Styela clava: one gene and its partners. Each later gene encodes a partner of the first gene's protein in a complex. Links are inferred from orthologs where the notes say so. Each region holds a gene or a part of one and is shown in the gene's direction. Other genes may lie near its edges.

What was found.
Region 2: mediator of RNA polymerase II transcription subunit 4-like (region 1) and mediator of RNA polymerase II transcription subunit 7-like share a complex: the UniProt entries of both Caenorhabditis elegans proteins name them as parts of the mediator complex. The link is inferred for Styela clava from reciprocal best matches to the Caenorhabditis elegans genes mdt-4 and let-49.
Region 3: mediator of RNA polymerase II transcription subunit 4-like (region 1) and cyclin-C-like share a complex: the UniProt entries of both Caenorhabditis elegans proteins name them as parts of the mediator complex. The link is inferred for Styela clava from reciprocal best matches to the Caenorhabditis elegans genes mdt-4 and cic-1.
Region 4: mediator of RNA polymerase II transcription subunit 4-like (region 1) and mediator of RNA polymerase II transcription subunit 21-like share a complex: the UniProt entries of both Caenorhabditis elegans proteins name them as parts of the mediator complex. The link is inferred for Styela clava from reciprocal best matches to the Caenorhabditis elegans genes mdt-4 and mdt-21.

What each region holds. Positions count from the first base shown.
Region 1 is NC_135264.1:5,105,132-5,112,487, forward strand, and holds the start of mediator of RNA polymerase II transcription subunit 4-like, read left to right. Parts: upstream 1-4,354; 5' UTR 4,355-4,486; intron 4,487-5,180; 5' UTR 5,181-5,245; intron 5,246-5,727; 5' UTR 5,728-5,814; coding exon 5,815-6,627; 3' UTR 6,628-7,356. UniProt on the Caenorhabditis elegans protein: Component of the Mediator complex, a coactivator involved in the regulated transcription of nearly all RNA polymerase II-dependent genes.
Region 2 is NC_135263.1:12,517,381-12,525,282, reverse strand, and holds the start of mediator of RNA polymerase II transcription subunit 7-like, read left to right. Parts: upstream 1-4,900; 5' UTR 4,901-5,012; coding exon 5,013-5,107; intron 5,108-5,298; exon of another isoform or gene 5,299-5,450; coding exon 5,451-5,535; intron 5,536-5,906; coding exon 5,907-6,044; intron 6,045-6,602; coding exon 6,603-6,796; intron 6,797-6,935; coding exon 6,936-7,086; intron 7,087-7,242; coding exon 7,243-7,284; intron 7,285-7,502; coding exon 7,503-7,679; 3' UTR 7,680-7,902. Other genes in the region: galactose-1-phosphate uridylyltransferase-like, read right to left, coding at 1-833. UniProt on the Caenorhabditis elegans protein: Component of the Mediator complex, a coactivator involved in the regulated transcription of nearly all RNA polymerase II-dependent genes.
Region 3 is NC_135255.1:10,309,396-10,316,203, forward strand, and holds cyclin-C-like, read left to right. Parts: upstream 1-4,269; 5' UTR 4,270-4,300; coding exon 4,301-5,152; 3' UTR 5,153-6,298; downstream 6,299-6,808. Other genes in the region: lysosomal dipeptide transporter MFSD1-like, read left to right, coding at 2,363-3,883. UniProt on the Caenorhabditis elegans protein: Component of the Mediator complex, a coactivator involved in regulated gene transcription of nearly all RNA polymerase II-dependent genes.
Region 4 is NC_135250.1:5,389,914-5,397,017, reverse strand, and holds mediator of RNA polymerase II transcription subunit 21-like, read left to right. Parts: upstream 1-4,938; 5' UTR 4,939-4,965; coding exon 4,966-5,460; 3' UTR 5,461-6,577; downstream 6,578-7,104. Other genes in the region: uncharacterized protein LOC144428188, read left to right, coding at 3,046-3,645; kinetochore protein NDC80 homolog, read left to right, coding at 6,635-6,764. UniProt on the Caenorhabditis elegans protein: Component of the Mediator complex, a coactivator involved in the regulated transcription of nearly all RNA polymerase II-dependent genes.

The sequences.
Region 1 (7,356 bases):
CAGAAAAGATCGAACTAATAGCAAAGCGGAGTGCGTTACTTGCTGATACGATACTTTCGTTTCTGAAGCGAATAAAGGCAAGATTAGCATAGTTGCACGTTGGCAAGACAAAATTGCATTGTCGTTACATCGTTCATTGTTACTCCTATATTTAAGTCTAGAGATTTAGTAGATATAATAATATGAAGTATATATATCAGGCGCGGGTGAAATATGGTTCTATCGAATGATGTGTCCTTCATTCAAGGTTTGGAAATATGGCCAACAATGGCGATTTCCACAAGGATATTGATATCTAATAATATACCCCAAAGATCTTCTTCCATAACCTTGCACAAAATTAGCTTCCCCTTTAGAAATTTTTGATTGCTCTCCTGGTTTCAATCGTTCAGTTATGCGAGAGAGGAAAGTCGATTATACGGCATAATCATATGGCGCACCACCATATGCTGGACCCTTCGCCGTAGTAGGGTGGTCAACGTAACCGCTGATCGGTTACTGCTTCCTCTATCATTATACTAAGGTTAGTTCGGATATTTATAATTTTTACTATCCGGAGAACAGATATATCCGTTTATTTTGTATATATTTTTACTTCACGGTTAACCGGATTACGGATAGTTACTGGTAATTGTTAGAGAATCAAGAGAGAATTTCACGAGATTTACATGGTGAATTGATCAAAAATCACGACACAGTTTTATCATGAATATTTACACAAACACTGTATGAGCATATATAAATGAAATTTTGAACATGAAGAAAAACACGCATTTTTCGATGAGGAGTAACCAGAAATAGCTAGTAAACAGCGCAGGCAAAGTCCACTGAATGTCGATAGCAATGTTCTAGACTAGAATCTATTCTAGATACTTAAAAAGGTGGGTATGGCAAATAATGAGGAAGGAAGAAAAGAAAGAAATTGGCATCTACTCTCCAGTGCCGGAAACAAACAAACTGTGGAAGCCAGGGTTTCAGAAGAGCGGGATATATTAATGTTTCTGCAATGCATTGACTATGAAGCACCCCATCAATCGTGGCGTCAAGTAAACGAGACCGTGGATCGCATAATATATGTCTGCGAAAAACACAGTGTACTAGCACCAGATAAAAAGCAATATCAAACTGTACCACCCTGCCGCGCCAGACAAAAACAAATTCCAAATGTAGGATAGAATCGAGGCCATCCACCACCGACAAGGCCAGATGATACATAGGCATAGCCTCCGTGGCGTCGATCGTGCAGTATTGGCGATGTGTCCAGTCCCGAACAAAAACACGACCCCCATCTGCGTCATTTCCTGGCAATATACCCGAATCCCAATGGCAAAAATAGCGACAGAAAACAATAGTTATATATCACCAAAACCGCCATCTTCAAGACTGCCCCATCTCCACACGCACAACTTCAAAGCTTTTCAACTGAATTCGTCTACAGCAGCGATTCCCAAAGTCGGCAAAAACACTTTGTGACAATATAAATGATGCTTTACATGCAGATAAGCAAATTCAAGAAGCCTACTATTGGCGACGAATTAACCCACCATCAGTAAAGGAATTGGACCTTCTGGAGTATGTGCACCAAGATGGCGCACAACCTGAACATAGTATGTGTGCCAGGTTTGGGTTCAGGTTAGAGATGTACCGATACCACTTTTGTCGCCGATACCGATCCGATACCAGCTAAAAAAGCCGATACCAATACGCCGATATTCGAAAACGACCGATATTGCCGATACTATGTAATTATTACCTCAATTGTGCGGGGCAGACGGTTTAAAACAATAGTCTTTAAGCATTGTTAATAGTGCGCATTATTTCGGATCAAAAAAGAGAAATATCACATATTAATAAGAAGTAGATGTTTGGGATCCAAATGCGCAAATTGATTCAGATGCATTGAGCACTGACGCTAGTAATCTCGGCTCTTTATTAGAAAACTAGTAGGATTTGGCTACTGTTGGTGGTAAAATAAATAAATGTTTAGCCTACTTATCGCATGAAACTGATACATTGAGTAACGTGCGTAGGATTTTGTGCCAATATAACGTCGTATTTTAAATTATACACATCGGAACATCCACTAATATTCGATTGATATAATTCTTCATAATTACCATGTAATATTAAAAATTTTAATATAAAAATTCGGCAGCGAAAATACTCAAATTGATTGACCCAGTTTGACTGATAAATTGCTTAAAACACGTCAGCGGGTGTGGGGGCGTACAATGGCTCAAAAATAATTTCAAGGTTAGTATTCTAACCTATTTTTTAAAACATTCTGAATCATATTGAGAAGCTAAATATATCGGAAATATTGGTCTAAACTTAGCCGATACCGATACACTACCGATACTGAGAAATTGGCCGATGTTGCCGATACCGATACATCGGCACATCTCTAGTTCAGGTTAGCGACATCTTGGTGCACATACTTCAGGAGCACCAAGAAATTTTCTGATACTGTTTTGCATGAAAAGGCGCCGTCTGTAGTTATTGGACACGTTTAGTGGACATAACAATCGTTTTGTTTTTATGTTGTTCTTGTTCTTGTTGTTGTTCGACACTTTTTGGACACCTAGTGGAAATATTAAAAAGCCGCTTTTCTCTTTGATCACTGGACCAATTGCTTTGAAATTTTTAGTGGTTAAAGATGAAATTTTTCTCCAGAAGGCTATTACTTTTATTTATTTCAAATATTTCTGATAGCTCTGTAAGATTTGTTTTTGTTTGCTATGACGTCATCGAACGTTCTGCGGACATCGGACGCCATTTTGTGCCCTACTGTACTGCTTCGCTTGGTGTGAATATATTTGTAGAATGTGATCTGACGGTACGGTAAACCGTACTGTACTGCGAACAGACGTGTCCATATATTTGGGCGTAGCTCTCTTGTTTCATTGAGCAATGATAAAGTACAGAAACGAGTTGATTTTTCAGTCATAGTCATGAAGGCAGTAAATAAAATAAACGCGTGCTAAACACTCGCTCACTTAAATAATTATGCAATGAAAGTGATGAATGCATTTGAGCGCTTACTAGCCTTACTTCACACTGAAGTAAGATATGGCTTTCCATGGATATCTATCTGCCATACACCAGCAAGACGGGTATCGCTGCTCGATGACCAGCATTTGATTTTCGCGGAACTTGGAATGCCATTACTACGTTTACTCCTATTCAATGTTCGAACCAAGTGTATATTAAGTTTGGTGAAAAAATAAACTACTGACTGACTGATTTCACACCCTTTTGATACTGTTGTTGAATTCCAGCAGTTTACTTTCATGGAGAATAAATCAATCTGATAAAGATGGATTGGTTCCAATAACACTGTCTGGTTCCAATAATAGGCTCGTCGTGTATCAGTGAAATATGCCTGGACGAACATTTTTCCAATTCTAGTTTAGTATTATTCACGGACGTGGGATTCTTGAAAAGGAACATCAAATTGCAAAAAGATTTTGAACTCAAACAAATGTTCAGTGTTCCATAATAATTGTTCAGAATTAAACCAAATTAAAATACCCTCACGTGCGGGATCATGTAAAAAAAAATCCTTTAACAGCTCATACCTGTGCCATGACCGCGCTTCTAGATTACAAGAGTAACCGCATTTGACATCGTTGAAGAAACATAAGACCGTTTCTGACTAAAATGAAGCCGGATATTGATAAGCTAGCTGGTGACGTTTTATTTTGCTCACCCATCTCATTAGGCTAATGATGAATGGAGAATAAATTCATTTATGCTTATCAGTCAAAGGTGAAGCGAATGCGCTCTACTTTTACATAAAAATCACATTTATTTTGTGATGTGATAGTGGAAGTACACTCCAGCATTTACGGATGGCGCTGGTGGTGTCGCTGCCTGAAGACCTCTTGAGGTCCCTCGCGACTCCTGTCACACAATTTAAGTTAGTTTCCACTTGTATTTGTGATATTTTTTCATATATCATACCATGTTTAAATTGTGTTGACGAATAAATGATGATTGATTGGATGGCAAAGGTATAAGCAAAGAAGTGTGAATAAAATTTGTTAATATATGCTTTGGGGAATGGCAGCTGCTACGTAACAAAAATATAAAAAATCATTAATGAGCATATGGATTATTTATGCTACTTTAATATCCGGTTATTATATTTGTTTAATTTTGTCTGTACATTGTTTCATGCACGACGAAATAAATACAGTATCTGAATCTGTTAACCGTCACAATGCTATCCGGATATCAGGTAGCAAAATACATTTGGGTTAACCGGTTTCGGTATCCGGACAATTCAACCCCACATCAAACATGGAAAACAAACGACTGGTTAACTAATCAGACTAATGGGCGGTATTGCTGTATTGTTACGATATTTTATAGGCTACTCTACGTGCTGACCTGTGTCTTTGTCATCAACGTACCGGGTACCGGTACTGACGTAACGAATATTGTACGGTACCGGTATTGAAGTTCACAAATACCGATACCTACGGTATGTCATTAAGGGGTCTGGTATAGTTTAGTACCACATCCACTTCTAGTTGGCCTGGCTCAACAATTTTTGCATATGTCAATCCTAACCCCCACCTGACTACGTCACCGAAAAATTACGTCATTCCGACGTCACAGTGGCGTAATAAGGCCCACCGAAGTATGCGGATGGTCGTCCAAAACGCGCAGACGATAACCCGAAATCGAGCAAGCTATTTCTCTCGTTTTCTCGTCGCAACGATCACGATAGGAGAGAGATCGCCGGCCTTAACAAGTTCTTATCGGCGGCGCAGATGCCATTTCGGGCGATGGTAATTATACTTTGGCAATCCCTATGACGTGATGGTGACGTCGTAGTGACGTAATTTTTGGATGGCATAATCAGGTGAGGGTTAGGAGTAACATATGCAAAAATCGTTATGCTACGCCCACCGGAAGTACCGGCACTTGTGGTACTAAACTATACTAGACCCTCATTAAGTTATATGAACGATTCTTTAACGTACTAATATAATGTCATTACCCTAAAACTTACAAAATCATTGGATACTGGTGTTCCTTATTAAAACATAGGTCCGCTTCCTTAAGAATCATGTTGCAAACAGTATTCAGGTATTTTTTTTATTTAAGTCAGTAAGTAGCCTACATTTAAATAACTAGGGTCTCTGGGTTTACAAAATTGAATTATTTTTTAGGTCAATTTTAGAAGAAATGAGCGCTAGACTACGGTATAGGTTCGCTATTGTTTTGGAATGAAAATGTAAGTAAGTGTAGCTCCTCTGCATTTTGTTTGTCCGTTTGTTGATGTTTTGTTTCGTTCAGAGTGGCCAAAATAAAATTGATTGATTGATAGCTCTATGCAGCTATGAAACAGAAAATAAAAGTTCTCCGCCTAAATAAATTGAGTTCATTGAATGTATTTTTTCCAACAACATTATGCATTATTATTTTATCACAATTTATCCTTCAGTTATTTTAAATTTGTATTAAGTCAACGGTGATACGATATATTATACTAATGTAAATAGAATCAGATTCCAATCAAAATTAAATTTTTTAAAAACTTACATCTGTAATCCTTCCTTTAATTAAGATAAACATAATTTATTCCTAAATTGTCAAACTTAAATTGTCAGGAATATAAGATCATATATTGGGTTGCGGTTATTTGCGATAAAGTTCCGTCTTTGTTGTAAACTATTATTACAGTATTATTAACAATAAGAAACTTCTTCATTGCAGGCATAATTTTAATTCAGGGTATTTCAATATCATAATATTGATATTCAAATTTATTCTTCAAAAGTTATTATCGAAAAAAGATTGGAAATGGAATTACAACGAGGAAGCATCAGCACTAAACAACAATTAATGGCTCTTGTTGAAGACATTGATCTTATTACTCGGCAATTGTTTGAAACTCTTTCCCAACAGTCATCAAGGCAATCTTCAACCAGTCAAACTTTCAATTCTCAAAATGATGAAGCTATCCCACAAAAAATGAACGTGAATCAGCTTACTGATCTTTTGCTTCAAAAAAACAAAGATTTAGAAGAGAAAATGGCAATGGCACGCGACCAACAACAACTTCATCGTGATATCAAATTATACAAAGCTGAAATCGCACAAAAAAATAAAGAAATTGAGGTTTTACAAAAACACCTAAAAGATGCGGAACATCTTTTATCCACTGCTCTATACCAAGCCAAAGAAAAACTCAAATCGATCAGAAGAGCAAGAAAAGGTGCTGTTCCTTCTGAAGATATCATTAAATATGCTCACAAAATAAGCGCTGCATGTGCCACGGCAGCTCCATTAAATTGGGCGCCAGGTGACCCAAGACGACCCTATCCACAGGACATCGAAATGAGATGTGGTTGGCTGGGACAGATTAACAATATGACAGATGCAAATTCAACGATTAAGCCACCGCCGCAGTTAGGAACGGAAGGACTTTCTGTACCAAATTTAGTTGGTATGTCGCGATCTAATGATATACAACAACCACAATGGGGCAACCAATCAGCATCTGGTATGGACGGAAAATTTGGATATGGTCAAAAAGGAGATGAAGAGGTTGAAATAATGTCCTCTGATTCATCATCAAGTTCATCTTCGGATTCTAGTTTCGGGAATGATTAAATTATAGTATTGTCAGAATATTAGTTTTTAATATTTAAGGAATACTCACTGCCTGTTTTCTTTTTTAATTTCTGTTATTTCTTGAACTCTTTAACGCTGAAAATTGTTCCAAATTATATTATGCTGGTTGGAAAATGGAAAAGTTTTCAAAATACCAACAAATGTGTTCATTTGATGCAAAATTGTCATAATAATCCAAAGTGTAAAGGTGTTATGCAAACTGGTGTTTGAGATTTGTATTTTCATTCACGTATTGGTATTGATATGAAAACCAGAGTCTAAAACATTTATAATAAGATGCAGAGAACGTTGTAACGATGTTGTTTACTGCATAGAATAGCTTTGATGGTTTATCGAATCATTCAAATTGACAAAAATCATGTTTGAGTAAATTTGTTTTCTTTGTTACAGTCATCATTATGACTAATTGGAGAAGAATTTCAGAATAGATAACTTTTAATACGTGGGAGTGTTGGCCTAGTGTTTAAAGCATTAGGCCTAACTATGATGGCATCACAGAATAAAATTTCAGGTTCAAACCAAAGGCCACCCCCTCGCGCAGGTTTTAATAAATTGGGTAGGCAATACCAAACCGGAAGGATCCAGATTTTTCTAGAATAAGTTACAGTAGCTCCTTTCATATCAGTAGAAATGAATTTTTACTTTTAAAAGCTGTTATCTGTTTAATTTCTATTTGATGAAATATTTAAAATTTCATAAAAAATGCTA
Region 2 (7,902 bases), on another chromosome or scaffold:
ATGGAATATGGAAAAGAAGTTTCAAACAAATTATCATATTTTGTCAGTAGGGACTTCATTACTTCTGCTAGGGAAGACCGTTCCTCATCGGTTAGATCAGGTAACCGAAGCACATGTCTTTTTGGAATAAGCATCGCTTGATAGGGCCAAGTTGCCCAGTAGGGAACAATTGCCACCCAGTGCTCATTTTCTGAAATAATCCTCTCTTTGGACTCAGACTCACGCCTTGCATATTCAACCAGCATTTGATTTCCATGTTTACAATAGTAATTTTTCTGAGTTTTATCTTCAATTGCAGCTTCATTGGGTAGAAAGGAGCTCGCCCATATTTGGCAATGTGGATGAGGGTTGGAGCAACCCATGACTGATCCTTTGTTTTCGAAAACTTGCACCCAGGTATACTTTTCACCAAGCTCTTTTGATAAATCAACCCATTTATTGATGACCTCAATTACATCATTATTGCTCATTTCTGGCAAGGTAACATTTGAATGAGGGTGAAAGCACATTACTTTGCATTCACCAGATACAGGAGACATCTTAAACAAAGGGTCATTATTTTCTTCTGTTGAAAAAACTTCAGGTTGTAGAGCAGGAAAATCATTATCGAAAACATAAGTCCCTGAATACTTTGGATTTTGTTTACCATTCGATCTTATGTTGCCAGGACACAGTGGATTTTTAGGGTCGTATTCAGGAATTTCATCTAAAACTGGTTTTTCAACTTGTCCAGTCCATGGCCTCTTAAGACGATGTGGAGACACCAAAACCCATTCATCTTTCAGTGGATTATATCGAATATGTTGATGGTCATTAGGATTAAAAACAGACATAGCTCAAATATTTTTGTAATACATTGACTGCCATATACAAATTCAAAATTTGGTAAAACACATTTAGCTATACCCATTATAAGTACCGGTATAAGTTTATTTCGATTCACACTGCGACCTGTCTGTCAACTAGTCAAACGACCAATCATTGCAGAATTGAGAACTGAGAAGCATAACAATCAGATCAACGAGGATGCAGCAACTAATAAAGTCATTTTTGTGACATTGTGTACAACAAGTTATAGGTACGGTATGCTTTGGTTCACACCTAGCACATTGCTTTGCAGTTGTTCACCTCAATTAAATTATTGTTTTGCTTTAAATGTGTCTGTTGTAAACAGATCCATGATTTATGTTTTGGTGATTGGTTACACAATCAGGGTTGCCAGACCCCAGCCATCAAAAAAAGCCAAATCAAGACATAAAAAAAGCCAGAAAAAGCCAACAATTTTACTAAGTACCGTAGGCTACCCATGATTTGTCAGATTTTAAGCCCTTGGCAACGTACCGATGATGATATAGAGCCATTAGTTCATTCAGTGAGGCACACGAATAGAAAGTAAAGTTCCTATAGCCTAGCACTGTAGAAATTAAATATCGAGCGGACAGCATTATTTTACCATTCAATAAATACAATACAGGGTGCCGCATCAGAATATGATATACCTACATGTTTCTACTTAAACTTATGATATACCTTAAAAATTTCTCCCTATATCGTACTTTACTATTGAATATTTTTTACTTTTAAAATTTATAAACCATCAATTTTATTAAAAAATTATCTAACCCCCTGCCGCTCACAGGTGGACCACTGATTAGAGATGTACCGATGTATCGGATATCGGTATCGGCAATATCGGCCATGTATCGGTATCGGTTAGATTAAGGCCGATATTTCCGATATATTTAACTTTTTGATATGGTCCAAAATAGATTAGTTGGAATACTACTTTTCAATTTATTTTTTGTCTGGAGAGATTGTGAGCTATGAGCCATACATGTCCCCACCACCGTGAGAGAATATTCACGTGTTTTTAGCTATTTATCAGCCAAACTAGCTCAACTAATTTAGATATTTTCGCTGTCAAATTTTTATATTGACATTTTTAATAATACATAGTAATTATGAAGAAATATATCAACACCGCACATAACAAAAAGCAATCAGGCGCCCGGTTTTAAATCATACAGTGGAATTGGGGTCCTTATTAACGGCACATAGACCCTTGGCACAGGTATAAATTCTGACTGTTTGTCGTCAAGTACGAGTGTCATTTAGTCCGTCGACATCGATAAACTAAATTCCGACACAATTATCTCTCTACGCAAGTATTAATTTGAATTTTGTTTAATTACACAACTATTTTATAGATATATTGACATGACCGCCTATCCCTAGACTGTCTCAAAATATATGATTGCAATTGTAAAATATTATAAAATCTATTTCGTTGAAAGAGATCATGTTATTTTTACTAAAAAAACCTCCTCGACGGTTATAGGTAGGCCTTCTTTTTGTTGGTGCTGATTGATATTCTTTATTCATGTTGGCTTTGACTTGTTGCGTCGACGATTATGATTAGCCATGAAATACAATATTTGTAAAATGCTTTTAATTTGAGCGTAGGACGGCGGCACTAGAATATGTGGGTGATATTCGATATTCTTTTAAACACGAAAAACGATATTCGAAGGTCGCGATATTAACATTAAATTCAAATTTGACATCCCGGCTTATGAGTTTTCTAATTGAACACCGAGATTACTAGCGTTACTGTACAATGTATCTTAATCAGTTAAAGCAAACTCCAAACATTAATTTCATATTATGTGATATATCTTTTTTTTTCGATCTGAAATAATGTGTACTATGAACAACGCTCAAAGACCATTGTTTTAACCCGTCTGCCCTACACAGCACCCCTAATTAAGTAATAATTACATAGTATCGGAATATCGGCCTTCTTATAGTATCGGCGTATCGGCGTTTTTAGCTGGTATCGGCGACAAAAGTGGTAACGGTACATCTCTACCACTGATATCTTATTCAGTAATTTTAGCGTAGTTAATCACATCGTTATTGCAATTGCAGAATTAAACTAAAGCTCACATAAACCATATCAGGCATAATGAAAATTAAGTTATATAACTATTTTTTGGAAACAGAACGAAAACTATAAAAACGAGGCAATGTTTACAACCCTGCTTGAACATCTGTCTGAGCAGCTGCAGAAACTGCAATTATTTCTTATTGGGTATGGTTAAGAGTTAATGTAACAAACAAGGAAATCGATGCTCCAGGAAATCCTAATGTTAAGTAGCTAAGTACAAGTAATAGGCTATTGTTCAGTTGTTACACACTAAATATTGTATTTCATATGATTCTAATAATAGACACTAGAATAGACTTAAAAAACGCCAAAAAGCCAAACGGATATTCTGACGCTATACGGGTTTCAAAAAAGCCAAAAATGGCAAATTTGGCGTTAAAAAAGCGAATATGGCAACCTTTTTTTTTTTTTTTGCTAATCTTCTCTGTATCGTTCCAATTTTTTCATATGTACACTCGAAAGTAGTACCCTGTACACAACGTTATGCGCCCTCAGCCGATAAATGTTCCCGTTTTTTAGTTTTTTTTTTCGTTATTTATGCGCGTGTTATATAGGTTATATGTGGGAGAGAGATTTGTTATCACAAACAATATCAACACTATAATACATTTGAAGCAACACAAAATAAAATTTAACAATAAACAACTGGTTGATCATTATTTGTGAGGGTCAATATGCAAGACCAGTTAGGTCACCAAGGCTCCTGGGGGCTGGCCCTTGCTGTATAATGTATACGGACCTTTCCCCGATCTTTGACCCCCGAGAAATTCTATCTAAACTTCACCATTGCAATAATTTTCGGGGTTATTTTAAGAGTGCTTTTGCGAGTTGGCGCCTGTAAAATGGGGTATGTGTTTCAAACCATCATTTTGATTCAACGCATACAACAATCTGTTTTTTAAAAGTACCGGTAAAGAATTTTAGCCTAGTCTATCCACTGCTATTTCTACACTAATTTTTTATTACTGCAATTAAACTAAAACTCCTAGAAAGACAGAATGATCATTGAATTATCTGATTTATATTTAAGTTTCTGAAACACTACTGAAAACTAAAGAATAAATTTCTTTTTTTTTTTTTTTTTTTTAAACGCTCACAAATGTGTTAAATGTGATACAGTAATAATCATAGAAATAATGGGAAATAAAATTTTTACAATCATTATTATCTCAAATTGTAATCCATATTATCCGACGTAGTTTCCATTTTTCAGTATTCCAATGTTCAATAATCCATGTATAATCCGTAATATCAATTCAGTGATATCAAGATGTTTTCAAGTTAATAATACATTAGTTAAGCATTATTTGTTATACATAAAAATAGAAAAAAAAATATTAGCAACTATACATTTACTCAAAATATAATCACAGACAGTTGGTTAAAAATTCTAATTCCTTTATGAAATTTGGTAATTTTCGAACTTTTTCTATATTTCTCCGACATGTTATTGAAGTTTGTATCTGTTTTATGACTGTTTGAACGTTAGGTATCTTTTTTTGAAATATAACAGCATTTCTTTCTAACCAGATCTTATATCTTGTTATTGATATAAGTAATACTATAATGTTTTCATGAAAATCTGAAAAAAATACACTGTTCATTTGGGAAAAATCTAATAAAATGCAGGTCAAATAGTCTTCTCTTAAATTACTAATTTTCCTAATAACAGAAAAAATATAATCATATATATGTTGAGTGAATTCACATCTCAAAAATAAATGTGATATAAATTCTGGTTCTTTGCCACAGAGGGCACACAAATCATTTCCAGAAATCCACTTTATTCTTGCATGGGTTTTTAAAGGTAAAATTTCCCACATAAGAATAAATTTCGAAAACGCGAAAATGAGGGAATGTTTACGACCACGCTTGAAAACTTGTCTGAGTGAGAAAAGTGTCCGAGCGGATGCGAAACGGGAGCATTGCACGTCACTTTTTGCATCTTGCTAATTGGCCAATGGCCAATGCCACGAAGTAAACAAGAAAGTCGATGCTCGGGGAAAGTCCATGAGGAATCAATAAGACATAGCATCAGCAATGAAATACGGATCAAAATATATGAATGGGCATTTACTTATTTCAGTATTTATTGGCGCTCACCATATTCCTATTTCTGCGCGTTTTGAATCTTATCAGTGGTTTCGCCAGCGATTTTCTGTGAGTTGTTATATTTTGTGTTTGTTTTTCTGGGAATTACAAAATGATCTTATTCTTATCATTATAAAAACTATGGATTAACCACTAGTGTCTACTGTCTATTATGTGACACGGCCACTGGCATGACTTCACTACCACGCCACGATAAGGTATTACCTAATGCCATGCCTTTAAATGCTATGCTAACTATGCTAATGAATTTTGGCTTCAAGACGTTCGAATGTTGTTCTATACCTAAATATTTACGGCCTACAGGTCTAGCGTTACGGTCTTTCTCATGCGCATGGTGTACAATAAAAACGGAACTGTAACCTGGTACCGGTATAATTCGCCTGCTATTCAGGAATACAATGGCTGCGGCTCAGCAGACTGTCGGTGGATCAAGTGATGTCCAAGTCCAAAGTTCATTTCCTTTGCCACCCAAGATGGTAAGATACGGTAAAGTTTTCATTAATAAGTAAAATAAAATCATGTTATATTGCGCAAAGTTCACACTGTATTATAAAAATTTTATTATGTTTTTTTTCATCAAAATAGACCGTTCTCCAGTTCTCATTGAGAATATTTTAGCCTGTTTTGTATATAGCTATAAGTCTATGCATCCCAAACAAATAACTGGCCAACTAAACATATACCCGACATGGACTGGTGCGGTACCGGTAACCGGACGAGAGGCTGTGGTTTACCATATGATTGAGCCAACTTTCCTCTCTGAGGATGTATTTTATTTTTTGAATTCTCCTATTCCTATCTTGTTTAGTTTTGAAATTGCAAATAATTCCTCATGCATAAATTTCAGTTCATAAGCAAGTATACGGATGAGGCTGTTCAGAGGGATATTGCTCCTAAGCCTCCAGCTCTGCCTGATGGTTCTTACATGATGTTTGGACAACAATGTCATCAAGATGACCTGATCATCAGACCTTTGGAAATGCAGGTGCTAATTTTTATTATTCGAAAAGCTAGTTCAATACCTGAATACGGGAGTAGCATAATTAATATTCATACGATTATCATGGTGTTATCTATATTAAACATGCGACAACATTTGAAACCTCTAGTTCTTATGGTTGGGGCATGCTTTTTCTTCAGGTCTAATATCTCGATGCTCCATCTCAAAAAACTGCCTGGAAATAAAGGTAGTTCTTATATTTATATCATATAGCCTATATTTTATTTTCACATTAGTAACTTATTTTCTTTTTTTTTGCGTGTCATCAACGGAAAAAATGATAATCCATATGAGCCATTTTCATACAAAAAATAATTGATAATTTCATATGATAAATTATTTAGAAAAATTGCTCATTATTCTTGAAATTTGAAAGTGCATTGGTTGTCCACAGTATTGGAGAAACACCTGTTTAAGTTATATTGCTGGCTTACAATATTACAACTCTCAGGGTTAAATGATATTTCTGCACAAACTTTGCCTCTACACATTTTAATGACTATCTGAACAAGATATGGAATAACATTATAGTTATGTTTTCAGGGACTTCAACGGCTCCATCCACCTGTATATGACAGAAGAAAGGAATTGAAGAAACTCACTGTTTCTATACTCTGCAATTTTTTAGATTTGTTGGATGTTCTTGTTAGTGCTACAGAATCTGAAGCACGCGATAAGAAGATAGAAGATTTGAACATGCTTTTTATACACATACATCACCTAATAAATGAATTTCGGTACTACATATATTGTTTTTGTTATTGCATCTGCATCACAAACTTATTGGTTATTCATAGTAGTGATAAGACTAGTAATGAGAAACTGTACAAATTTGACTACAGTAACATGACTAAGTTATTTCTTTTTTGATTACAGTCCTCACCAAGCTCGCGAAACTCTTAAAGTTATGATGGAAATGCAACAAGCACAAATGCTAGACGTTGGCGAAAGGTTATGGAAACATATTGAAAAAGCTGGTGATATATTGTCAGAGTCTAGTACTCAACTTGCGACAATGCAAGCAGAGGTATGTGGTGTTTCATATAATGCCGCATGCCACGACTTGTCTTTTTTTCATGCGCCCATTTGACCATTTCTCAAAAACTTCAATGAATGGAGTGTTGCATTTTGCTCAAGGTCAACAATTTCCCATATACGGTTAACAGTTTTTTATTTCATTCAGAATCAGTCTGCAGTTGAAGCCATTGAGCTAATGCGAAACCAGGTAAGGAAATATTTCATATTGATTATTTTCTATTCTATTTCTCAGTTCACTATTCTGCCATAATTATCGTATTTCAAAGTTTCTGAGTTTTTAATAATTGTATTTTAATAAATACAAACTTTTGTGATTTCATACATTATGATGCTATTTGAGTTTTGAACTTGTCTAGATACTCAAGCTCCCAGTTCGCGTCCTTATTTACCTTAATTTTTTTTCAGGAACCTATGAATGTTGATTCCATGCTTACTGATTTATCTAGTACTGATTTATCAACATCAATATCTCAGAATGCCCAGGGTAAAAACAGTATGGACACAGAAACATCTGATATTGTGAAGGACATATTCAAAAAGGATAAAATTTTAAGCGGCTTTATCAATGACATGAATGACTGATAGCAAGATATTTACCTGGCACTAGCAATATGACAGCCCTACCCAGTTTGCAGGGTTGCTATAAGAAATGATTTGTCTGTTGGGTTTCATCGTGCGATTTCTGGAATTATGTACTCTCAATTGTGAGACTGTTAAGAAGCTATCACCTATTTGTTGCTAGCCAGACTAGAACCTGCAGCTACTTGATCATTCATGGAATTGAAATACTACGTACACTCAGATA
Region 3 (6,808 bases), on another chromosome or scaffold:
TTGTTTGGTTTTCAGGACTGGTACATATAGTCAAGTTGCAAAATTGCGTATGTCCCCTAGTCATAGACACACTTTTGCCTAAGTCACAGTGCGCCATTATGACGTCACATGACTGCGTCATACAAATTAACTTAAATCCGGCTACGATCAAAAAGTTGAACTATGGCAAATTAATGGCATAGCAATATCATTAGGAAGTTTTTTTTACGTTTTTCTCAAAACAGCTAAAAATGACTTACGCAATTCGGTTGTTAGCGTGACGATATATAATTTGTTTTTACATATAAAATTAAATGCAATAGAAACATGATTAAACGTGGGGGTCGGGGCGCCAATTTTATATTTTGCCCCGGGCGCAAAATATGCTGGCTACGCCTCTGTGCTATTGGCATTGTAAATACTTCATTTCAATACAAAAATAATTTCCTTGTTGTAAGCGAAAAAGTCATGAATGAAAGGGTTAATTGTGGTCCATTTTAGCTTACCAGGCTTATCCATGGAATGGGAAACGTCCCATGGGATGAGACAACACACTTTGTATTTCTCATGAGACACTCATTTTTATATAAGATTATTGGAAGAATAGACACATGTTTCTACCGCTAAAAGATGATGCGAAAATTGTTCTGGCCGTACCAGTGTCATCTGCGGCAGTAGAGCGTTTATTTATGGGCCGACCAGTTTGTTTTTGCGCAATCTACGACAACGGATTTACCTTCTCTTCATATGTTCATATTCATGTTCATATTCATATGTATTGGGGGGAATGGGATTAAATTAAAAAATGATAAACAAAAACATGGAAACAAAAAAATATCTATTTATATATTTATAATAAAATGATTTGATACCAAAATATTAATACGAAAATTCCGTTTGGCATTGGAATTTATTTGGCACAAAAAAAAAAAAAAAAGGATTTACCTTCTCTTGTTATCACTCTGATTACATCAGATTTGCGTGTAAAATGAAAATATAGGAAATGGTTCGGAATCAGAACTCATCCGAATTAACAGAATTAGTAACAGTCGATGAACAGGAAATTAATGATTTGCAGTAGAACGAGAGTGTCATTCTGAATTGTCGTAGTTCAGTAGTTATCAGACACGGAGTGGACCTATGGATCGTTTTGTTATTATGTTGTTGTTCTTATTGTTGCTCTTCTTCTTGGCATTAGAATTTTTCTTCCTATCGTTATGAAAAAATCACCTTTCTCTTTACTTACTGGACCAAATGCATTTCATCCAAAATTTCGCTGTATTATTTTTTACCTTACTGCCTTATGCTGTTATGGGAACACGGTTTTAAAAACTGAATTAATTAGTACCGGTACCGGTAGTCTATATGGAGAAGGGGTGGGCAACATTTTTTAGTATAAAAGCCGCATGCAGCGAGTCAGAAATATGTGAGAGCCGCATAATTTTTGAAATTATTGATATTAGTGATCATTAAATCATTTTGCATTGTAACTGTTACATTGATACTAATTTGGATTTGGGCTATTGACTGCGACAACATCAGCAATATTTTTTTTCACAAAATACAGCCCCAGAGTATCGGTGTTTAGCATTTTAAATTTAAAATAAAAAACATGGAAACAAAGGACTGTGTTTTTAAAATAAAATGATTCGATTCCAAAATATCAATATGAAAATTCCCTTTGCCATTGGAATTTATTTGGCACAAAAAAAAAAGATACTACAGTACTAACCTAGGCCCTACTATTTCCGTGTAAACTCAGAAGAACACAAATTTTGGGATTGACATCACTGTATTAGGTCACACTGTCATAGGTTCGTCGCTTATAGCATTCAAACAATCTTTGGCAAAGCATCATTCTTTGCTATCTTAGATGTACTAGGCCCTACTTTATTATTGAAATACACCGGTGTGGCTCGCCGTGCCAAGCGTTAGGAATACGCTCTATGATCCACCGCATCTGATTACTCTGCGTGGGTTTGCAGGTTCGAATCCCATGCGAGTGAATCGCTGAACTCCTCGCTGTCGTAGGGTAGATCACGTAACCGCTGGTCTGTTACGGCTTCCCCCACCATCAAGTCCATGCTACCGGAAAAAAATAACTAATCCCATACCCAACCGACATGAAATTGTAAACGGACGAGAGGCAGTGGTTCGCCATATGGTTAAGTCATCTTATCAACTTTCCTCTCCCCCAGGAGAAATATGTAAATCCTATCCTATATCTGGATATGCATACAAATGCTGAAAGATTTCCAAAGCGATAGTCATAAGCTATAACAGTATAAAGCTCTACATCAATATATTAAGGTATTTTTACTTTTTAGATTAAATAATACAAAACTTTCTGAAATTTAAGACCTAACCTACCGGTATTATCATTATGGAAACTGATCCACTTGTTCGAAGACGTTCATCTGCTGCACCAGTTAAAGTAAAACCATGTGAAGTTGGAAATCCTCGTAGTTTGAGCCATCGTCTTATCATTATTGCTTTGATGTGTTTTCTAAGTTTTGGAAGTTATTTCTGCTACGACAATCCTGCTGCATTACATGATGAAATTGTGAATGATTTGGATGTAAGTGAAAGCACTTTTATGTCGCTTTATGCTTGGTATTCATGGCCAAATGTTGTCCTCTGTTTTTTTGGAGGATTTCTCCTAGATAGGGTTTTTGGTGTTCGCCTTGGCAGCCTCATTTTTAGCATGCTGGTTGTTATTGGGCAATTAATTTTTGCTACTGGAGCACTGGTACACAAAATATGGTTGATGGACCTAGGACGTTTCATATTTGGTATTGGTGGAGAATCATTAGCTGTCGCCCAAAATACATATGCTGTTCTCTGGTTTAAAGGAAAGGAATTAAACTTAGTGTTTGGTTTACAACTCAGCATGGCTCGGATTGGAAGCACCGTGAATATGAACCTTATGGTACCAATTTATGATATGGTTAATGAAAAAATGAAGGACCACAATAAAACCTTGGGTGTTTCTCTATTTATTGCTGCTCTGACTTGTTTGTTCTCGTTGACATGTGCAATTAGTTTGGCGTATTTAGACAAACGTGCTGAAAAAATATTGAATCGTAAAAAGAATGAAGCTGAAGAAGCTGTTAAACTAACGGATGTTAAAGACTTTTCAATTCAGTTATGGCTTGTATTTGCCATCTGTGTGGCTTATTATGTAGCAGTATTTCCTTTTATAGGTTTAGGAAAAACGTTTTTTCAAGAAAAGTTTGGATTTTCTTCATCGAGCGCAAGCGCAGTGAATAGTATTGTATATATCATGTCCGCACCTTGTTCACCGGTCCTAGGCTTTATTATTGATCGGGTTGGTCGTAATTTGTTCTGGATTTTATTTGCTGTTGTTTTAACTCTTGCAAGTCATGGTTTATTAGCATTTACCTTTATCAATCCATGGTTTGCCATGACGTTGATGGGATTTGCATATTCTGTGTTAGCATGTGCACTGTGGCCACTTGTAGCATTTTTAGTACCTGAGCATCAACTTGCCACAGCCTATGGCTTTATGCAATCAATACAAAACTTGGGTTTGGCTGTCATATCGCTTGCCGCTGGTAGTATTCTCGACAGTAAAGGATATTTCATGTTAGAGATATTTTTTTGTATGTGTATCAGTGTTGCTTTAATATCTGCTTTGCTTTTGTACATCATTGATTTTGGTCGTGAAAGTGGCCTGAATGCTTCTGCCAAAGAACAAAATGCAAAACGTGCTCTCGAAGAAGCAGCAGAAGAAATTGCAAATGCTTCTGTTGATATGCAACCAAGAATTAAACCAATGACTGCATTTGGTTTGAGAAATCGTTATTATTCAAGAATCGGTGCAATTATTCCTGAACACTTAGTTGCTCACACTAACGTGTCACATCACGGACATGATGAATAGAATTTTTTATTATATTTTGATTTTCTTCCATTTTTGATGAATTTTAATGCAATTATGTGTATCGTAATATTCCAATGTGATTACTGCATCATATCATGACACCTGTTATATTTTGCAGAACATTTTTTAATATAACAGTGCCCATATGTCTCATTGCTACAGATCTCCATCTCTGAAATAACAACCTCGAATTCCAAAATTTTTGTTTATGATTATTCATCTGTAATGCTTACATAGTTATACAAAATATCTCCTAAACTTTGTACTATTAGTTATACCGTACTTTTTCATGCATCAATTTACAAACCAATCTTGCCATTTGTTATGTAGCATTTTTCTGTGCTTCTATCATTGTGTCTTGTAAAAATTTATCATTTTTTTTATAGATTACCATCTAGCTCCTATTTTAAATCTGATATGGCTGGAAACTTCTGGCAGAGTTCTCATTGCAATCAATGGATACTTACGCCGCAAGATCTCACTCGAGAACGAGCAGCTGATTTCAAAGTTTTAACGGAAGTTGAATATAACAAAGTGATGATTTTTTATGCCAATGTAATCCAAGCAATTGGCGAACAATTAAAGCTACGCCAGCAAGTTATTGCTACGGCAACTGTTTATTTCAAAAGGTTTTATTGCAGACATCCATTACGAAGCTGTGACCCACTTCTTTTAGCTCCAACTTGCATTTTTCTTGCTGCGAAGGTGGAAGAGAGTGGCGTGGTATCAAATTCACGGCTTATTGCTGCAGTCGGAAGTGTCATCAAAAATAAATTTGGCCATGCGTTTCAAATGGATTATAACTACAGAATAACCAGTGTTTGGGAATGTGAATTTTTTCTCCTGGAATTAATGGATTGTTGTTTAATTGTGTATCACCCATATCGTCCATTATTACAATATGTTTCAGACATTGGACACGCTGATTTATTGTTACCAGTTGCTTGGCGTATTGTAAACGACACATATCGTACGGATGTCATATTGTTATATCCACCTTTTCAAATTGCTCTCGCATGCCTGCATATTGCATGTGTTATACAGAGTCAGTTAGAGGTTGCAAGACAATGGTTTGCAGATTTAAATGTTGATATGGAAAAAATTATTGAAATTACAAAAATTATATTACAACTTTATGATTTGTGGAAAAACTATAACGAAAAAGAAGAAATTTCTTCCATTTTAGAAAAAGTTCCTAAAGCTTGTGTCACACCAAGTGATTATAACAGAGATGATCGCATGGCTATAAAGGGTAAAGGAAAAGGGTAACCTTTGATTAAACTAAATTAAAGCTCGGTATCCGTTTTTCCATCAATAAGAGAGGTTCAAATTTTATATACGTTGCAAAGTATGGGTATATCTCAACTTCAAACAAGGCCATGTATCTGAAACAAATAGATGGACACAAGGGAGGGTCAAAGTTTATCTACGTTGCAAAGTATAGGCATGGCTCAACTTCAAATCAAAGACATGTATCTGAAACAAATAACTGGCCAACTAATATCATACCCGAGTAACCCGACATAGACTGTTAACCGAACGAGAGCCCTCTTATCTAATTTCCTCTCTCCCGGAATAAATATAAAATCCTATCCCTAAATAATTGATTGATAAGTGAATTAGTAAATTGATGTATTTAAATTTAGCCAAGTGCATGAAAAGGAAGATTTCAAGTAGTCATTGATGTATTCAATGATGATGACTCTCAGTTTCATGGTAGTCTTTTTTCAAACCACATGCTATGTGATTGTGTCATTTTGGCTGTTGCTATTGCAATTCCCTATTTTAAGTCCTTACTTTTGGGATACAGATCCAAATGCTTAATTAATTAAATTAATCGGGTTCCTCATTTTGTGCAAATAGCATGCGTTAAACCAGTCAAAATGATTGTTTTGCTATGTGAACAAAAACAAACTATTTGCAGGTTGTGAATTTATAATTGCATATTATCTGTACAGTTTGTGCTACTCTGTTTATGCTTTCTACTTAGTGTTGACTAAACAATACATTTTTATGATTACTAGATCACAATAACTTGCCAAATATGTAAGGTGCACACTTTATTTTGATAATGCTAAATTACTTATATCCTGAAATTTTTGAAATAGTGAACTATTCGGTATTGGCCATCCCTGATTTGAAGCACTCTTGCTGATTTTTATTTCCTTATCGTATTGTCTATCACCCTATGAAATTTGAGGGCTACAGGAAAATTACACCTAGTATTCCAAAATAGTAATATGATGGGTATCACTTACATTATAATATTAATTTAAAATTGTGACATCATATCTGAATTTTAAATTTGAATAAATCTAGATGCAATTTACAATTTCAAGCAGTACTTGATATTTCTAGTAGTACCAGTATTTTTCAATGTACATACTATCATGAAATGCTTTTGTATTGTTTAGATCAAGTAGATAGAATCAGGTCAAATAGTCTTAGTTATTTATTCATGTTGAATGTAGGCCAATAGCTAGATATCTACCTTGCTGTTTTTATAAAGTAAGTTTTGTAGTTTAATCTATTGATAATGCTAATCAATCAAGTATTGACACAATTACCAACCAGGGCATTGACTATAAGTAAAAACTATAGTAAATGTCCAGGCATGATTAGGTTCTAGATGGAAAAACAAGTGATAATACCATAAATGTAATAAAATGTGTTCATTATGTATGGTATTATTTAACTTACGGTATGTGAATAATAATATTACAATAGGATGTTGTAATCAGAGATGGCTATTTTTCAATATCGAACTTGATATTTTATCCAAAATTTTTAACAAATCTGTCTTCTCATCTGAATATATTATTTACTCGAATATGGTCCAGAAAATTCATGGCATTCCCTTTTTGTTAATATAACAAATGATACTTTTTCCAACACTTTTGTGAAACTAAAGTGAATTATTCCATT
Region 4 (7,104 bases), on another chromosome or scaffold:
GTAACGCAGCGCGGTGACACTGAACTAACTCGTAGCTGTCAAAAGCTTGAAAATCCATACAAATATGAGAAATAAAAAGATGAAACTTGGCAGGTGGGGAGAGTTGTGTTTCTTTTAACCATATTTGAAAGTTTCGCGTTTCTACATTTGAAGGAGGGGGAATAGGGGGTGTGCATTTCCGATACGTCGATATTATCTTTGTCAACCAATTTACGGCCACCGTGTTTTCGTATGTTTGATTGCTGTGATGTGGTGCTTTGTTTATAATTTAACGAGTTTTGTTCGAAATAACCGTGTTCTTGAAATATATGACGGTCAGAAATGCAATTAGAAGCCCAATGCTTCAACCCTTTGTCGTAGAAAGTTAATACGAGGTTTAGCGTGTAGAATAAAGGCCGCCAATGCACCCACGGTGAAAAAATTAACGGGTTAGATATATTGGTTTTTGTTTTATAGCGGTTTGAATGAAATTGTCCGCAGACTGGCTACACCACCCTAGGCCTGGTGAGTTGTCCGTGTAGTCGAATTGTCCATCAGCCCTAAACGGCTATGACAGTCACTGTACCAAAAATTGTACCCCGATTCGGCTGGTGTTAAGTTGACGCATGTTATTTAGTAACGTTTTTATCTGAAATGTTTGACTGTGGTTCGGTACCTGATCCGATAATACGGTACATAATTGACTCATATCACGAGATATTTCAACTGATGTTTCAATTGTCACAGGACCTAAAATATCTATTACAGTCCCTGTACCGTCACGGTACCCCGATACAGGTACTGGTAAGTCACCGCCGGTATGTTAGTCGTTGGTCACCGCATATGATTTTTGGGGAATTGTTCTGCGTGTCCATATATTTGAGCATTGCTCTCTTGTTATCCTTTTTTCCCTTTGCTCGTAGCGTAAATTAGTAATATTATCTGTTGTCTGGTTTAGCGTTTCCCTTTCGGTCATTTTCGCATCACGTATTCGTCGTGTTGCAAGAGCCGCAGATATTTGTCCGTATTGTGGACTGTTTACTTATCTGTTTTTATATATATATATATATTGTAATTGTATTAGCCACCCGGATCGGAAAACGTTCGGTAACAAAAAAAAAAAAAAAAAAAAATTTGCCTTTTGTTGTTGATATATGCTTTGACATATGTTAATCGATTGTGTTTTATTCATTAAAGAAACCACTGTTCTCTGCCAAGTGTATAAAGAAGAAGCTGATCTATGCATGTGTCTTGTTTGTGGACAAAGGGCTGAGAGTGGCGCGTTCGATACGTTTTTATTGTGTCTCGTCTGTATAGATTCCGGGCTATCAAAAGACGTCACACCTTGTGGCGATTGCGGTGATGGCATATCAGCTGAGAAGCGAGCGTAAGTCTTTTTCGCTAAGAGTTGTTTATGGGGAACGGCGTGCTACGGTACCTGGTTGCGAAAATACATACAGTAGTGATTCGGATAGCTGGTGTTACTACAGCTGTGAGTCGAATCATCTTGTAATTTTAATTTTAATTGACACTGACACAAGAAAGGAACTGGTGAAGATAGGTCAGTTCCGGTACCGTAACACATGCTTACACATACCTACCGTAACTGTCTCGTAAAAGCGGGGCTTACAGGTCCACTCACTGTGATGATTAATGTCTTTTAAATGTTGGGGTTTTTTTGGAATCGGTAAACTTTGCCGTGCTGGATAAGTCACTGCATTGTCACCATGTAGCTGTTTCACTGTTCAGCTTTGTTCAGGTTACGCTATGAATTTCCGTGAATTGATGAAACATTTTGTTCTGTATTACGTGTCCATATATTTGAGCATAGCACTCTTGTTTCGTAGAAGCATAGAAGCATTCAAGATATACTCGAGGTGTCGCAACGGAACAGTTTGGCGGGATATACTCGATACATGCCAGATTTTAATCACGAATTCGCTAATCATTATAGGCCGAGATAAATTGAATTTCACCACATCTGAATAATGTCTTTTTTTAAATTTCTTCAAATCATTATGGTTATTTTTTCCCTTCATATTTTCGTTTTATAAAAAAGGATCAACTATTTTCAAACATGTATATGCTTTACGACACCTTTGAGAAAAATCTGGTAACTTTATGTTATTGTTTTGAAAAATAGTTTTACCATTGTTTTCGGTTTTAATTAAAACGAGTTTCGCGATTCACTTGGAAATGTGTAGCTTATTTTGTAGATTGTTTGTTAAAGGATTTTCACAGAAAATTCAATTCAATCAAATCAGTAAACTGCGAAACTGACACAATACGGTAATACCGATATTTGGTAATGATAGCCTAGTCAGGTATCGGTACCGTACCCTACTGTACCGTACGGTACCGTACCCATTGAAGCTTATTCCAGTATTCAGTTATTCACATTGCAGTACCGGTACGGTCTGACGGTATTCTGGTATTGCTGTCAGGCTGTAGTTTAGACATACCGTAACTGCATAACACTGTAACATTTACAGATTTATTAGACCAATTACCGTACCGGTACGGTATGTCTTGTGTTCATTTTGAATAAATTCAGAAATTGATTACCGTATCCAGTATAACTGTATAAAGTTCTTAAACAGAAATGAGTCCAAATGACTGTATGAATGGTGCTTTATCGCTTCAATGCTGCAATCTGAATGACTAGATTTCAAAATTCTTATTTCTGAAATTTACAATGTTTGTCCGCAATCCAGCAATCTGAATCTCTAATCACATTTTGAACTTGATTCTACCACTACAGCACTACCGATAGCATACCGTAGCCAATAGGATAGTACCGGTACGGTACCGTACGGTACTGTAGTCTGTAGTCAGGTAGTAGGGTACCGTAATTTTTGTATTTCCTATGAAACTGCAGAAGGTCTTCTGATTTTGATAAAATCGAAATACATTTTTGATGGCTATTATTGATTCATTTCTGCTCCTGTACTGCAAATTGTAATATTTATCTTATGTTTTAGTTAGCAATATTCATTTTACTAACATTTTTCGCTCTTCAAAAACCTGGTGTTGATAAAAGTGTCATAAATTTTGTTTATTTCTGTGATGGCCCCTGGAACCAGGCCCGCTTCACACTCAAATTTTTGTCCTGAATTTCCATCAGAAGGCAACATGTTTGAGGCCAATTTTGATGACGTTGCTGCGGAGAGCGACCCATGGTCAGGTGCCACAGATCCAGACTCTGGTGCTCAAGATACAGATCAAGGATTTGAAGATTCGTTTATATCTAATGATCAGAATGATTCAGAATTTCCAACAAATCAGCAATCTGTGTCATATGAGTCAAACAAGGATTATTTAAATTATTTAGAATCGAAACTTCAACGAATGGAAACAAAACGTAAAAATACTGATAAAGTTAACGCACGAGATGTTCTCAAATCACTGAAAGATGTAAAAGAAAAACAAATGCAATGGAGTTTTCAACAACAAGGGGTTTCGTCGTCAGAAGGTGATACTTTCGACAGTGACAGTGGCCACAGCAGTGGAAGTGGTAACTCATTGACAAACGAACTTCGAAGAAAAATGTTTCCAGAGCAGCACGCACAAAATGACACCGAACTTTTGCATTTACTAGATCATGATGTTATACAAAAATTATTTCTTAATGTTCAAGATGATTCTGCAAGTTCAAGCAAAACTTGAATATATTTTTATCCATTTGAATCGAAATAATTAAGTTCAAATGAAATTTGTCGCAGTAGAAGTCTTTGTTTACTCAAATCATTAAGTTTGGTGCATATAAATCAAGTGTATGTCGAATCAATTTCCATGTACCATATTTGGCGCTCTAGAAGTGTGTGTACCAATATGGAGGTACAGTAGCTACACATACTACGGGAGTAACTTTTATTTTTTAAATTTCATTTTCAAAATTATGGGACGTGTATTATGCATTGTTGTAGGAAAATACAAAAAATAAACAATTCTGTTGTGAATGATATGCCATATTTGAAACTACCGTAAGTAATAATGACCCAGAGTAGAAATTTGAAATGTCTATAATTGTTTTATCATTACTCCACTTTAATTTGTTTGTTTCCAGCAATATATCGTAGCTGGTTTGTCATCGATAAATGGTGCATTATGTTCTTGTCCATTCTATAAATAGCGATTAGGTCATGCTATAATTTTTATTTCTTTTATGTTATATTTTTGTGATCGTGATTACAGTCAGGATTCATGAATTTAGAGAAGTCTAAGCTATAAATACTCATTCCTGTCATGCTGTATTGAAATTTTCGACAATTTTGAAATTATGCTTTTGTAGCGGCCAATGTTCCCTCTAATTTTTTGTAGTATGTGTGCGCAGACATTTTGGTGTGTGCACACTTTTTTGGAAATGAATAATATTTGTGCAAAAAACAATGAAGAAATTTTGGCGTTCTAACCGGTAATAAGTGGGCCAACAACAAACTTTCTCAACCTGCCAACCAAGCACATTGTTACATTACATCGAAATACGTCTGTGCGCAGTAAATCTATGCGTGTGCGCAGCCTCTGAAAGCTATGTGCGCGCGCACACGCGCACACCTTAGAGGGAACACTGGTAGCGGCTGATGAAATAACATAATTTTAATATGCATGTCACTTTATTACCCAGCCCTACATGTGCTAATTGACACAAGTTCATGTAGAAGAAGTATTTAAATTTGTATAATTTTGTTGCTCTTTACAAGCGGCAACTTATTTTTGGTTTTGATTACTCAACCAAGATGAACCAGTATAGTTGTGTATATTACTCCCTTAGCATCTATTAATTCACAGAATATATTAAGCTGTGACTGTTGCTCTAAGTAATTGTGTGTTTCAGGTGCTCAGTCAATTGTGATATGTTATATTACTATGCCTATACTACTTTATTATAAATGTATCAGAAATGTATTATATTATAGATTGTAAGCTCTAAATAAGTAATATTTGAAAAATAGAATATAATAATATTGGAACATTTTGCTCATCAGTATGTCTGATCGTCTCACACAACTTCAAGATGCCGTCAATCAGATGGCGGAATATTTCTGCAACAGCGTTGGAATCCTACAACAGAATGCCCCACCTGGATCATTTGCTGGATTAGAAAAAACTGGAAATAAGGAGCCTGCTATTTCAACTGATGAAAACGTCAAACTTTTTGCTACATTAATAACAAGAACTGCTAAAGATATAAACGTTTTAGTAGACTCGTTACCAAGCGAAGAAAGTACGCCTGAATTACAGGCTGCTCATTTAACTCGTTTAGAGCAAGAAAACCAGGCTGCTGCTGCAAATCTTGAAAACCTGGTGCAGAGAGGAGAACTTGAACTTAACAGAATTCAAACTGCCTTAGCGGAAATTGCCGAAGCGCAACTAGCAGCACGTAAACTTGAAGCCATCCTTGTATGTGAGAGCGAACCTGCTGTTTCTTTTCCTGTTACTGATAATTCAATTGCAGATTTTTCAGATATTCCGCAAAGATGATATTTTTTTTTGCAATGGTTAGCGATTTATGTTTAAAAAACAAGCAGGGTGCAATGGTTTTTGAGCAACTTCGGTGTTCAATGAAACATTTGGACGATCCAGAAGTGTGTCTACCAATATGGAGGTAACTGATTTTGTTTGCCTACTTTACACAAAGTTGTGTAAAGGGACTGAAACCTATGGGCAGGAGGTATATTCCTTTGGCTAACACAGACAGTCCCCGAACACACAATAGAACTAATATGAGGGAAATCGGAATAAAATTATGGCCCAACCCTAACGTGGTACATATACTACAGGCTACAGCAGTACCAACTTTTGTGTCTCAACAATCTCAATCATACACGAGCAGAAGTTCAAGTGTTGATATAATTAAATAATTTTAGTTCATTCTCATTTTGAAATCTAAAAAAAGGGTAATCAAAGCCTTGTTTTCCTGACCTTTTCAGTATTTCTAAATTCAAGCTCATTGAAAATACTTCTATGTGTTCCTCATTGATGACGAGCTGATTTAGTACCGGTATATATTCACTATTCCATAATAAAAATAAAGTTTCAGAATCCAGAATCTTTTTGACTTTCCTTTGCAACATGTTATAAAAAGATCCATGCCAAGATCTAGTTTTGTAAAATGGAATTAGTGTAATTCAGTTTATTTGAAAACATTATTAATTGAGCCTCCATACTCCTTGTGCTTGTTCATATCTCAGGCAATAAACAGGTGACAATTGTTTTGTACCTATAAATAGAAAATTATTCATATGATGTTCTTTATCAGTTTTGTATTTATGCACGATGGCGTAGTGGTGAAATCATTAGACTTAATACCTGTGTTGTCATCGCAGGTTACTAACCTCGGGTTCAAATTCCATGCCTATCATCTCACCCAGGGAGAATGGATGCGAATGTCAAACTGGAAAGATTTCAGTTCTTCCAGAAATGTAGCTCCTCGCGTATCGTTAAATTTCAACTGTGCCTTGTTCTGAACGAAAGGGATGAAGAAGCGTATAAACAATTGCATGCATACGTTAGTTTTGAGACCATTGAATATAGTTTTTCACAACTGCCTTAAAAGGCATTAATATATCATCTTGATATTTTTGTTATCTTGTTTTAGTTATGTTATCAAATCATTTATTTAGTTATGGTATTAGACTATTAGTACTATTCCACAATGAGTCGTAAAACAAAATCATCATTTGGTCGTGATTCTCTACAATCTCGCAGTTCAATAACTGGTGCAAGTGCATCAAAACTACCAAGAAGCACACCGTTACCTCATTCCTCAAGGAAGGTTCTTCCACGTAAGATATTTTGACATTATTGGACAGTGGACACAAATTGGACCTTTAGATCGTTTTGCAATGTCGTCTTGGTGTTTTTTTTTGTTTGCGGGGGAAATACTTTATTCCACTTCTATTGGGCCAATCAATTCCGAGTTTTCAGTACTCAAAAGACGATGAAGCTGTTAGGACGCTATTATTTTCATCATTTTGCTAGATATTTGTTGTTGTTTTTTTTTTTTGTTGTTGGAAAAAATATGCTTTTCTGGCAACTAATGAACTAATCGATGTTGAATTTTTTGAAATTCATCACTTTCAGTCGTGCTTGTCAGCAATTCTTTTTAGCATACGCTGTGCTCAG